2 linked regions of the Arabidopsis thaliana genome follow. The protein of the gene in region 2 interacts with the protein of the main gene of each other region in a biochemical or structural test. Each region holds a gene or a part of one and is shown on either strand. Other genes may lie near its edges.

What was found. Proteins that work in one complex are often made in the same cells at the same time.
Region 1: the proteins of bHLH115 (region 2) and BTS form a complex in vitro, tested with the Arabidopsis thaliana proteins (one study listed by BioGRID).

What each region holds. Positions count from the first base shown.
Region 1 is NC_003074.8:6,272,182-6,279,976, reverse strand, and holds the start of BTS (zinc finger protein-like protein), read right to left. Parts: upstream 6,012-7,795; 5' UTR 5,670-6,011; coding exon 5,340-5,669; intron 5,046-5,339; coding exon 4,836-5,045; intron 4,710-4,835; coding exon 4,515-4,709; intron 4,441-4,514; coding exon 4,079-4,440; intron 3,708-4,078; coding exon 3,479-3,707; intron 3,338-3,478; coding exon 3,169-3,337; intron 3,074-3,168; coding exon 1,841-3,073; intron 1,678-1,840; coding exon 1,506-1,677; intron 1,155-1,505; coding exon 936-1,154; intron 825-935; coding exon 687-824; intron 581-686; coding exon 346-580; intron 259-345; coding exon 199-258; intron 97-198; coding exon 25-96; intron 1-24. UniProt on the Arabidopsis thaliana protein: Essential protein. Negatively regulates the response to iron deficiency and thus contributes to iron homeostasis. Exhibits E3 ubiquitin-protein ligase activity in vitro.
Region 2 is NC_003070.9:18,926,193-18,930,216, reverse strand, and holds bHLH115 (basic helix-loop-helix (bHLH) DNA-binding superfamily protein), read right to left. Parts: upstream 2,341-4,024; 5' UTR 2,200-2,340; coding exon 2,087-2,199; intron 1,983-2,086; coding exon 1,785-1,982; intron 1,525-1,784; coding exon 1,462-1,524; intron 1,359-1,461; coding exon 1,281-1,358; intron 1,199-1,280; coding exon 1,036-1,198; intron 968-1,035; coding exon 704-967; 3' UTR 537-703; downstream 1-536. Other genes in the region: AT1G51080 (golgin family A protein), read left to right, coding at 1-334; HTA10 (histone H2A 10), read right to left, coding at 2,774-2,983, 3,081-3,269; AT1G51055 (FBD-like domain family protein), read left to right, coding at 3,902-3,914, 4,006-4,024.

The DNA.
Region 1 (7,795 bases), on a different chromosome or scaffold from region 2:
CGCAGCAGTTTTAGTGTTTCTCACCTGACAGCGATTTTTGTATTCCTCTGGAAGTTCTTCTGCAGCTAACAGTGCATCAAGCATACCAAAATAAACCTGTGGAGTTCGCAAAAGAAACGAAGAAGAAACAGTTCAGTAAACAATATTTGCATGATGTGATATGCATGTTACACTCTTGAGGGGCGGGGATCATCTTACAGCCATATCTCCTAATGATTTTCCACAGATTGGACATGTGTAGTGACTGCAAGTGTAAGCCTGAAAGACCAGAGTAACAGCAAGTGTTTTGATTTTAGGCGTTAAAAGTTAATTTAAGTTTAATGAGAGAAAGAGAGATTTGCAAACCTGGAAGCAAGCTGAGTGCATGTAGTGACCACATGGTAAGGCTCTAACTGCTTCACTCGATGTGAAAAGAAATTCGCAGCAGATGGGGCAATTTGTCTCGAGGCTCTTCTCGAGGCACTTGTGGTTTACTAATTTCATCCCTAGGCAACAGTTACATGTCATGCAATGGAAAAAATCGATTCCTAGTCCTTCCCCGACCCGGCAAAGGTTGCAGAATGGACAGTGGTAAACGGCCCTGAATGCAGATAATTGTTTCTCACGGTTAGAATAGCTTCTGAAGTTTGATTTTTGACAGTGGTAAATTGATTCGTTTATGCATCAAACTGTTGGGTTTTGTTTACCTTTCATCATCAAAAAGTTTGCAAATACTGCAATAGTGCTTTGCCATTGGGAATCCGTCGCATGAAGGTGTTGTGCAGATGGGACCAACAGGTTGCACCTTGAGGCACCGCATACAGAGCATTTCCGTCACCAATTTTCTGTAATATGTTTCAAATATAAAATTACATATCACAGAGAGAGAAAAAAAATACGAACAAAGAAGTTTCAATTTAATTAGGGGAAACTGGCTTTAGAATATAAGATCTTACCTATCCATGGAGTGGTCGCTTACTTTGTCATGGCAAAACCTACAAGTGAACAACTGATCACAACAAGCAGCTCGAAGCTTGCAGTTACGCTTGTAATGCTCGCATCCATATATCTGCTTCTCGGGATCCCGAAAAGACGGGGAACATCCAAGTTCAACATCACCATTTACTGCAGTTTCTGCTTCCTTAGGTAACTTTTGCTGAGCCGCAATCCATCGACTGATAAATGCACCAACAGAAGAATTTTAAAATAAATGTTACTCTAGAACAAATAGGATTCGGGTATGAGGGACATGTGAATGAGATTATAGGTTCTCTATATCAGAAGATTGCTCAATCAAGGACACATATACATGCACAGTGGAAAATAAACTGAGCACGTTATTTTGGATTGGGAAACTGTAAAGGACAGGAGCACCACTTATACTCTTCCGCATTGCAAAAGAAGTTCAAGTAATACAGGGAAATGTATTATCTCTTTGGGGGGTTCTAGATTTATGTCTGGCATGCTGTATGCATGACAATGTGGAATAAAGGATCCATGCGTGGAAATAGTGAAAAAAATCTGACCTGGTCCTCCAATTCTGTACGAGATAATCTTTTCTCCTCGGATCAAGTGTTGAGTCCTGATAGACCTTCCTGATTTCAGCCTCTAGTTCATTCTGGTTCATGCGGAAAATATCTTTCCACCCTGGCTTAAATAGTTCACCACTTTGGTCCAAGATTTCTTGATGATCATTATCTATATGGAAAATAAACTTGACATAAGCAAAACAAACTTAGCACAGAGAAACTATAGTTGCCAGCTTAAGTATGAGTTATGAAGTCCAAAGAAGAAACATCTAAGGTTACATTAAACAAGTTAGATATTAAGTTGGTGAGAAATAGCTAAGCAATGCTTTTACCTTTCTGTGGACTAGGTTTGGATGTTTCTGTTGAGGATGAGTCGGGTGATCCTTTCCAGCATTCATTAAGCCATTCATCGAACATTGTGTTCTTGGTTGCCTGCTTCCAGGTATCCATCATTCTGTTTTGCTCATCTTCAGAAAGGGCAGACGTCACCCATGGTAACATAGATTGAAGAACTTCAGCACCCGTTGTTCCGATTATACGACCCACAATCTTGTCTTGCTCTTGAATGGAGAAGTGTTTGTCAAATAGAGGCCAAAGCTCCAGTTCCTCCAAGAAAATGTGCTGATCCAAAGTGATTTTAATGGATTTGCACATCCCCTGTAGCTTTGTAGCCAGTTCATTGTATTTCTTGTTGCAGTCACCGTTATCGATATCCGTCCGAACAGTGTCAGTTTGAGCTATGTCCTCCATCATAGAATCACTCTGTAACTTCTCATGAAGAATTGAAAGTTCGGTAAGGACACTATAAATATCTCCAAACAACTTCTCCTCCTGTTTATGGTCGAGCGTGTAAGAGTGACTGACATTGTGAAGTGTCTCCTTCGATTCTAGAGCTGGAAATAGGATGTCATCTTCTGCATTACTATGAGCCTTGTAGAAACCCCAGAGTAGGTGAAATCGACCGATAAATTGACGAATAAATGTTCCATCGCAATCAATGAGCTTTCCAGATTCAACATCAAGAAACTCTAGATCTTTGCTTATGGCCTTGTGAAACTTGAATATTGTAGCAACTGGCCGCTCAGCATGTCCAGTACCAAAGCTGTTACTATCCATTTCCCAAATAAAGAGGCTGGAATTAAGAGCGGGTGCAGCAGAGTTTAGCGAAGAAGATCTCATAGCTTTAGCTGCTGGAAGAGAACCAAGTTCCAGACAATTATTGTTAACTCCGAGATCCGGAACACAGCATGACCTACCATTTCCAGATGGCTTGCACCCATTTGCAACTTCTGTCGAGTGAGGGGTGGTTTTTTTTTCACAAGACAATACAGCAGTTCGCTTAGCTGGCCTTTTATCTTGATGCTGGCAACACGATTTTGTACTCCTACTCGTGCATGGAACAGACGCACAAGCATTACATGACTGAAGGTTGACTTCTTTAATGTTGCTTAGTGTTTTCACAGGGCATAAACCATTCCCGTTTGGAGACAAGCATTCCCCGGCTTTGCGTCCTTTGCAAGCCCAACCAGAGAAAAGAGTAACGAGAGCAACATCCGATTTAGGTGCTGAGGCCACAAGAAAAAGCATGTAATTATGCAAAATTGTGAGTAGCTAATAATTTGAAAGAAGGTTAAGTTTAAGGCAGTACAGTAGATAGTACCTCCAGCTTGCAAGTTCTTCAGAAAATTCTTAGCTTCATCTTCTGTTAAAGATGCCGTCAACCATGGCAAAACTCGTTCAATTAGTCTCAATGGCATTATACACAGGCTTTGGTAGAGAAGTTCTTGTTGTCTTTTGAAGCTGAAGTTCTTTCGTGCAAGGGGTAGCACCTGCAACCACTACAAGTTAGTTGACATCCTGAAATTGGTATCTTGAATCTTCATAGCATATAGTATCAAATGATCTTATGCCAAACTTTCATAGTTTCACCTGTTTACAATATCATACAGCACTTAAAAGCAATAGTTCACCTGAATTTCCTCGTTATGGAAGTGTCTTTGAATAGTTTCCATTATTTGATCAGCATGTGAGCACAGCTTAGTGTAAAATTCGGCAGCGGAAGTAGAAGAGGCTCCAGCACTCTTGATATTTTCAATTAAGCATCGAAACTCGTTAAACTGATTTTCTTCTTCATCGTGCTCTTCAGAAAATGAAAACTCTCCATCTACAGCTGGAAATATGATCTTGTCCTCTGCAAGACTGCACGAGAAAAGAACAGATCATCTCAAAAATAGTCCAATGACAATTCAATCTCTGTCAGAAGAAAAAAAAAGTTGTATGTAGATATGAACATTTGATAAAACTCTTTTTCGAATGATAACACTCTAATGCAGAAACGTGCTTAAGCATGAGAAGAGTAAAGGATAAACAACATCCATATCACTTGAAAGTAAAACACATCACAGCTGGCAAACGTGTTTTAGTGGCCATCAACATCAACTTTATAAAACAAATCTAGTTATTTACCTCAATAAATCAACATTGAATAGTCCCACAAAAGATAGCCAATAAACAATAGCAAAATTGAGATTATTCTGTTTTCATTGTAAATGAAAGGATACAACAAATACCTATGGAAGATGCACACTTCAGCAATATATTGTAAGCGTTCATCAAATGCCGATAAATCCGAAAAATCTCCAGACAGCTGAATCTTCCTAGCCTCATCGGCTATTTCTTTCATCTCCTTGTTGATTGACTTGTGCCAGAGCTTTATCTCATCAACTGGGTGCAGAGTATCAGATGAGCCAAAGTTAGTAAGCTCTGGGTACTTTCTCTTCCCAATCTTGGAACCCTCACATGCGCACTGTTCTCTACTTGCTTTACAAGGAAGCATGCTGCTAGAAGAATCTAGACAGCACTGGAACATAGAATCTTCAATGCGACACGAAGCCACGGTATTGCTTTTCCCTCCCAGCCAGGTGAAAATAACCTTCAAAAGGAAAATATCAATCAACAAGCCAAAGTCTTTCAACTTAGAAAGTTGGATCTTAATTCAAAACTTACCTGCTGAAGGAGCTTCTCGCCTGGAACTATCTTCTTTAAGCACGTTTGCATCTCCTTGCTTTCATCTACTGAAATGGAAGAAGAAATCCATGGCAAGAACACAGCAAGCATATTCACAGGAATACTGCAGAGAAACCGCCAGACTATGTAAGCTTGCTCCTCATACTTGAATTTCTCAATAAGTAAGGGGAACACCTATCAACAAGCCAAGAACAACCCGTAATTAATAAAGGCCAATGCGTAATGCTAAATATTCGATCTGTGTTAATAGAAAACAACAGAGATAATACATCTGTGATGTGAAGGAAAAGAAAAAAATACCTGTTTCTGTTCTTTCGCCAAGTGCTGGCTAACAGAAGTCTGAAGTGCTCCGGTAGAACGAGCCAACTCCCTTCGGTAACTTTCATCAGTTTCCGTGGCAGAATTCAGCAGCTCAAAGAGATGATCGAAAAGATTGCTTTCCCCCTTGTGTTCAAGAGAATATGTTTGCGCTACATTCTTCACACGTATGTCAAGAGCTGAAAATATCACCTACATCCACAGATTTGCAACTGTCAACAATTCTTCCTCATAACATAGCAATACAAATATGTTGCAATAGATTCCCTATCTACAACGCACTCATAGAATCAATAGGATGATCAGCAAGAGACTAATTGAGACTTACAATTCGTTTAAGATAAAATCAAGTCAGATTTACACAAATTTGCAGCTATATGTATTGAGTTCAAAATCCAAGTAGAGATGGTTCCAAATTCTAATTCAGCAGTTTTCAGAACATGATGAGATCAAATTTAAAAGAAGAGGACCAGGTTTTCGCATTACCTCGTCTTCGGCATTGCAGTGATGCTTATAGATGGATCTCAAGAACCGGTACCGTTCACGAAGCAGCCGGAGATCGACATGGTGACCAGTAGCAAACTCAAGAGCCAATCTATGAAGAGCTTCAAGCTCACTACATACTGCCTTATGAAAGAACAAGAAAATCAGGATCGGAGAAATCTCTTCCGCGTCATCCGAGAACGAATTCGCCACAGGCAACGGACGAGATGAAGAAGAAGAAGAAGACACAGAACTCGGAAGAACCGTGGTTGAAGAAGACGCCACTGCTCCGCCGCCTCTCGCCGTCTCAAAATCTGGTAACGGCGTCGCCATTTCCCCCAAAGCTTATCTCCGTTTTCGTCCGTCAAAAAAGAAATCTCAAACCACTTCTCTCTTTCCTTATGATTCGTCTACGACCTTCAATTTTCAAATCTGAGCTCGGTTCACCATGGGAATTATCTGGTGTTCTTCTGGTGTTTGTGTGGTGTTGTTCAACGGAGACGATGAGAAGGAAAAAAAGAAAGAAAGGTCGAGGCGTTGTCTGATATATCGATTTTGATTTTGCTTTTGCTTTCTTTTCTTTTTTATTTTTTGCCTTTTATCGTTTTATTAATGTTTATCTGGAAAATATTTAAAAAAAACTGTTAGTAGTATTATACGATCCTTGTAAATTTTTTTATAGAAAATGAATAAAAGTGCTTGGGGATTGGGTGGGTGTTTCTATACATAGGTTTTGTAGCACGTGGCCATTCACATCGCCACGTCGGATGCTGATGCAACCAACCCAGGTTGGCACGTGACCGATTACATCTCGACACGTGCAAGCGTCTTACCTACGAACGCATTTGGTCCGCGAGACATGGACGCTGGTTCTCGGAGTTAGAAGGAGGGACTCTACTGACTAGGGGCAAAAACGTTATGTAATTGCTTACGTGGAATTCATTAAGCTTTTGTTAAAATGAATTTGCTATTTTATATGTTTGAGGTTTAGCTTTTGAGGGAGCACTTTCAAAAGAAAAGATGAATTTGGCTTTGAGATTTTATGAAATAAGATAATGTAAGACAGATTCGAACTTGGTTTAAATATTTAGTAATGACTAATGACAGAGAGGAGATGTAGCAGCACCCGTTCGTAATCTAAAGGAGCCAAATAGCTAATTAGCTTCTTAATTAAACCATTGATTAAATTATTGCTTCACAGTTTTGCTTTGATTAATAAATGCAAATACAAAGGTTTAAACTTGTTTAATTGAGTTTGCATGTGCTCCAAGGTTTACTAGATTGAGTCAATTAATTTTGTGTCATTACTAGAAACAATTCTATTTCAAATTAGTAAAAGATAATAGAAATCGTGTTCAATATATATTCTTATGTAGAGATAACAAACAATTCTTTAGTAGATAATCAACAGCTAATGATGATCATGTTTCACAGTCGTGTTTATATTATGTATAGTCTAGTTAGTGGTACACCAGAAAATTACATTTAAACCTAAATAAACTTTGAAAAATGTTAATTACGTAAATATTTGGGAACTCTTTTCGATTAAAAGTATCTTAAAATTTCAATTTTGTATATTTATAAATCTATTCGTTCATATTTTATTTTTAAATAGATGATATTTACATATTTTACCAAAAAAACAAAAGGAATAGATTGATGAAGTAGAAAATGGTGGGAAAAAAACAGAGGACAAAGGAAGTGGTGAAAAGTAAAAAAAAGATACAAGAGGGGACGTGTGGGAAGTGTGGCGACAATTGGGTAGCAACAAGTTCCACTCGCGCTCTCTTCTCCACAACACATTCCTTTTTTTTCTTATAACCAAAATAAATAACATTTATTAGGGGACCAATATTTAACAAGTATTCATTATTCTTTTTCCCCCGATTTCACAACAACCTATTTATTTTATAATCAGAAACAACTTAATAATTCGCCGTTCTTGACTATAATTCTATAAAGAACAAAAACAACACGGACTAGTCAACTTATGTAAGCATTTCAACATTGTTCCACGTAATTTTCTACGGTAACCTTTACCTAATTTATATAGTAATTAACAAGAGATTAGATCATATATACTATATGAATATATATATATATATATAGCTTTATTGCAATCTTATAGGATCATAGATGGTAGGATTATTATTCTCCCTTCTTCAATTAATGCAACGATATAGGCATCTATGACCACCTAATTATGATCGTAAACCTAAATGATTAAAACAATTATACAATTTAAGACTAAATTCGATTGGTTGATTATTTTAAAAAATGAATATAGCTGTTTTTTTTGTTCCGAATTATTTGGAAATTTCGAGTATCGTGCAAGTGTACAATAGGCAATGGGTTGGCTTTTTGTGAATTGTGATCCATCAATATAGTGATCAATCTCTTTTCATGTATCCTTTTTCCCTCTTTTGTTTTGTTTTATTTTTTTCGTCTAAGGATAATGT
Region 2 (4,024 bases):
TGAGCTTTTAGGGACAAGCAAAGGTGGTCGGATTCCTAGGTTAAGGAAGGCGAACGAAGAAGAAGAAGAGAGAGGAGAAATGGTAAGAAGAAGAGAGATTAAGAAGAAGGAAGAAGAGGAAGATGAGAATGGATGGAGGAGAAAACAGAGGAGAGAAAGGATGAGACAGAGTCTTGGGAGAGATGATGGCAAGACAGTGAATAGAAGTGAGCAGAAGGGTGTTTTGGGAAAGCTAGAAGATGTAGAGAAGCAACTTGAGCCAAAGATTCAAAGTCCTTTTCCTGGTCGTGAGAGTCTGTTGAAGAAAGTCATGAACAAGAGAAGGTCTCAATGAAAAGTTTCTTTGGGTTAAGAACATTTCACAAAAGGAAGCAAAAAGCAAATCCTTTTTGAGTTTGTGTAATTGAAAAATACAAACTTTGCTTTTATATGCTAAACTTGAATCAATCAATCAATTCAAAGAAACTTCCTACACATTTACATATTCCTCTGAATCCACAATCTGTAAAACAATGATTTCCAAATTATCCAACTTTTTGCACAATGAGATTTGATTTTTAGTGCAAGCTTATTTCAATTTTACATTTTAAGTTGCAGTGGACTATGTCACCAATCACAGAATGTGAGAATCATTACATCAGAAAAAAGCGCGTAAGAAGTAATCTTACAGAACCGTTAATAGTAGTAGAGAGAAGCAGCAGCTTTAAGCAACTGGAGGACGAAGGACATGGTCCTGTGAGGTATCAACAGCAGCAGGAGGCATGAATTGCCACATTGCAAAGCCGGGATAAGTTGTGAAAGGGACAAGCTTGCTTCCAGGAGCTTGAGCTTGAGAGAGTGTTTGCGGATTTGGTAAGAAACAAGGTTGAGGCTGAGGCTGTGTCTTAATAGCTTTCAGTTGCTGATCGATTCTCTCCTTCTCGACCTTAAGCTTCTGTTTCTCATCACGCAGCTCGTTCTTCTCATCCTACATATTGGCATATACATAAGATCAATGGACAAGCTAAAGATCTTGCAGGAGTTTTCAGTTTTTACCTTCAACTCCTTGATTTTCTCCTGGAGGCTTGAGTTCAAGTCCTTTAGTTTCTGCGCTTCATCTCTTGCTTGATTCACCATGCGAATTGCATCATTGATAATAGCAACCTTGTCTGTTTTTGGAGTTCTCCCAGGTTCCAATACGGAACTCAACTCCGTAAACCTATTGACAAAGCACCATACCAAAAGATTAAGAACTCAAAAGGTAAATGATAGAAGAGAATGACGAGAAAGCAAGAAAATACTTGTCATTTAGTCTATCACGTCTTTGTTTCTCCCTACAAGCTTTCGAGTTAGAACCAGTGCAAGATTCAGTTTTGATCCTGCAGCAGTAAGAAGGAAAACTTTACAACAGGTTCCAATATTGCATAGCAAGAACAAGAAAGTCATTAGTTAACGCAGGTTTGACCAAATAGCGTTTGATACCTCTTCCTTGAACTTGGTTCTTTGATCACATCTGCATCACAAAGGAAGCCATCCACTTCAACACTGTGAACAGATCACATCAACACAAGAGGAAGGATCAATTACAAAGATTACAGCCAATTTGTAGAATTCCAGAATAGAAGCAAGATTCGTCTACTGCTTAAGGAAACAGAGGAATGGATGCAAAACAGAGAGAAAAAGCATTATACTTTAGGTTCTCAGTTCTTTCATATTTCTATCACAAGAAGACCATTTAATAGCAATCTGAGTGATCAACAAGGTCAAACTCCATAAAGAACTTCTCCAGATACTAATTACAGAACCTTCCTTTCGCAATTGGTAGAGATCTAGATTCGTCTACTTCTTTAGGAAACAGAGGAACGTAAGCAAAACGGAGACAAAAAAAAAAACAGAGGATTGATTTATGCAGAAGTCCAATATCTCTATCACAACAAGAGCATCTAAAAACCAACTGAGTGATCACACATCCATAACAACTTCTCCAGATATAACTACCAATCCTAAAACACCAAAAGTCCAAAGCCAAGAAACAAAACTAATAGATGGTGAAAGAAACAAAACACAGAACCCAGAAACCCTTGAATCTGATTAACAAAAAACTAACCTGACAGTAGCTGAGCCATCTATCTGCCAAGGGAAAGTGGGGTTCTGATCAGAGAAAGCACCTTCAATCAAAGGGTAATCACTAAGCCAGTTCGTATTCTCCGGAGACACCATTCTCCTGATTCCCCGGCGGCTACTAAAAATCGTTTCTTTTGAAAACAAAGGGTCAAATCTGAAAAAGGGAAAGGTAGAGACAATGTGTGGAAAAACGGAAGAAAAAAGAGATATGGTATAGTGCTAGGCATGGATTCTCTTTCTCTCTCAATCGGTTTCTATTATATAATTTTGATCTTTCATTTTCATGGATGTTGTACATTATTGGCCCACCAATCATCATCAATCCTTCAGATCTCTTTTAATATATGTCATAGTTGCTCAATTATACACCTCTCATGATGTCATTCCCAGTAGCTTTCCCAAATTTAACTCAAAAGTCCATTCTTTATGTCAACCAATCAAAAATCCCAAGTCTTTAGTGATTTATAAGACTAAGAATTTCATCATCATAACTCGAAAACCTAGAAAAGTTAAAATCTTGATTCCATAAGAAATTGAAAGCATATGAACATTCAATTCAATTCAAAAAACACAGAAGATAGATTCTTTCTTCACCATAGATCTAATCTAAATTACTCTTAAAAAGCCTTAAAAACTCAAAAAACACAAGAGAGTGGATTTGGTTGATTAATCAATCGTCTTCAGCAGATGGCTTGGAAGCACCGGTCTTCTTAGGAAGAAGAAGATTGTGAATGTTAGGCATCACACCTCCATTAGCAATAGTCACATCTCCAAGCAATTTGCTCAATTCTTCATCGTTCCTCACCGCCAATTGAATATGCCTTGGAACAATCCTCGTCTTCTTGTTATCCCTCGCTGCGTTTCCAGCCAATTCCAATACCTAATTTTTCAAAATTTCCCCAAAATCAGTCAAAATTAGGGTTTATAGAAATTGAACTAAAAGATCGAAAATTTGAAGAATAGGGAAGAGGAATTACCTCAGCGGCGAGGTATTCGAGAACGGCGGCTAAGTAAACCGGAGCTCCGGCACCAACACGTTCGGCGTATTTGCCTTTCTTCAAGAAACGAGCGATACGACCCACAGGGAATTGGAGACCGGCTTTGCTGCTTCTTGTTGTTGCCTTCTTCGCAGACCCAGATCCGAGTGTTTTACCACGACCCGCCATTGAAATCGATTAGAATACTTTTGTGTAAAGATGAGAGGGAAACAGTTATAAGAATCGAATTTGTTGTTATGGACTCTCTCCATCTTCTCCAGAGTTTATATACTGTTTTAGATTCGTCTTAACCAATAAGAAGAAACTACGCGGATCGCTGTTTATCACCGTTAGATAATGTTATAATCAACGGTGAATAATTCGAGATTCAGGATCCGCGTCAGAGTGAATTACCAAAATATCCTCTTTGCCTCTTTACAGTTTTGTTTTTTTCTTCTTTTTTCGGCCCAAACGTTTTACATTTTACCAAAGAGCCCAATTTTCAAAAATTGAATCCGGGTTCTTTGTGAAATTTGTGTGTGAAGATTTGAAAAAGTCCTCTTTTTTTATTCATCGAGTAACAGTTTTTGTAACCTAGTGTTGTCTGTTTTTCAAATCTATTTCTCAGATTTTGTTATGAAGCGAGGAAATTTCGAATCTCCCTCAAGCTCTGATCTTCCTTCTTCATCACGATTCAAACTAAATCCCCAAGGTTTTGTTCCCGCTTCATTCCTTTTTGATTTTCATAATTCGAATTCAGTTTTTTTTTTTCAATTTTGATTTTATATGAAGTTTCCAGTAAGTGATTGACATTATATGATATGAATCTTTGTGGTTTGTAATTTGCTTTCTGAATCAAACTTAAAAGTTTCAATCTTTTATATCTGAGAGTTGTGTGCATTGTGTCTCTCTGGTTTTTCATCAGGTGATTCTGAGATTTTAAA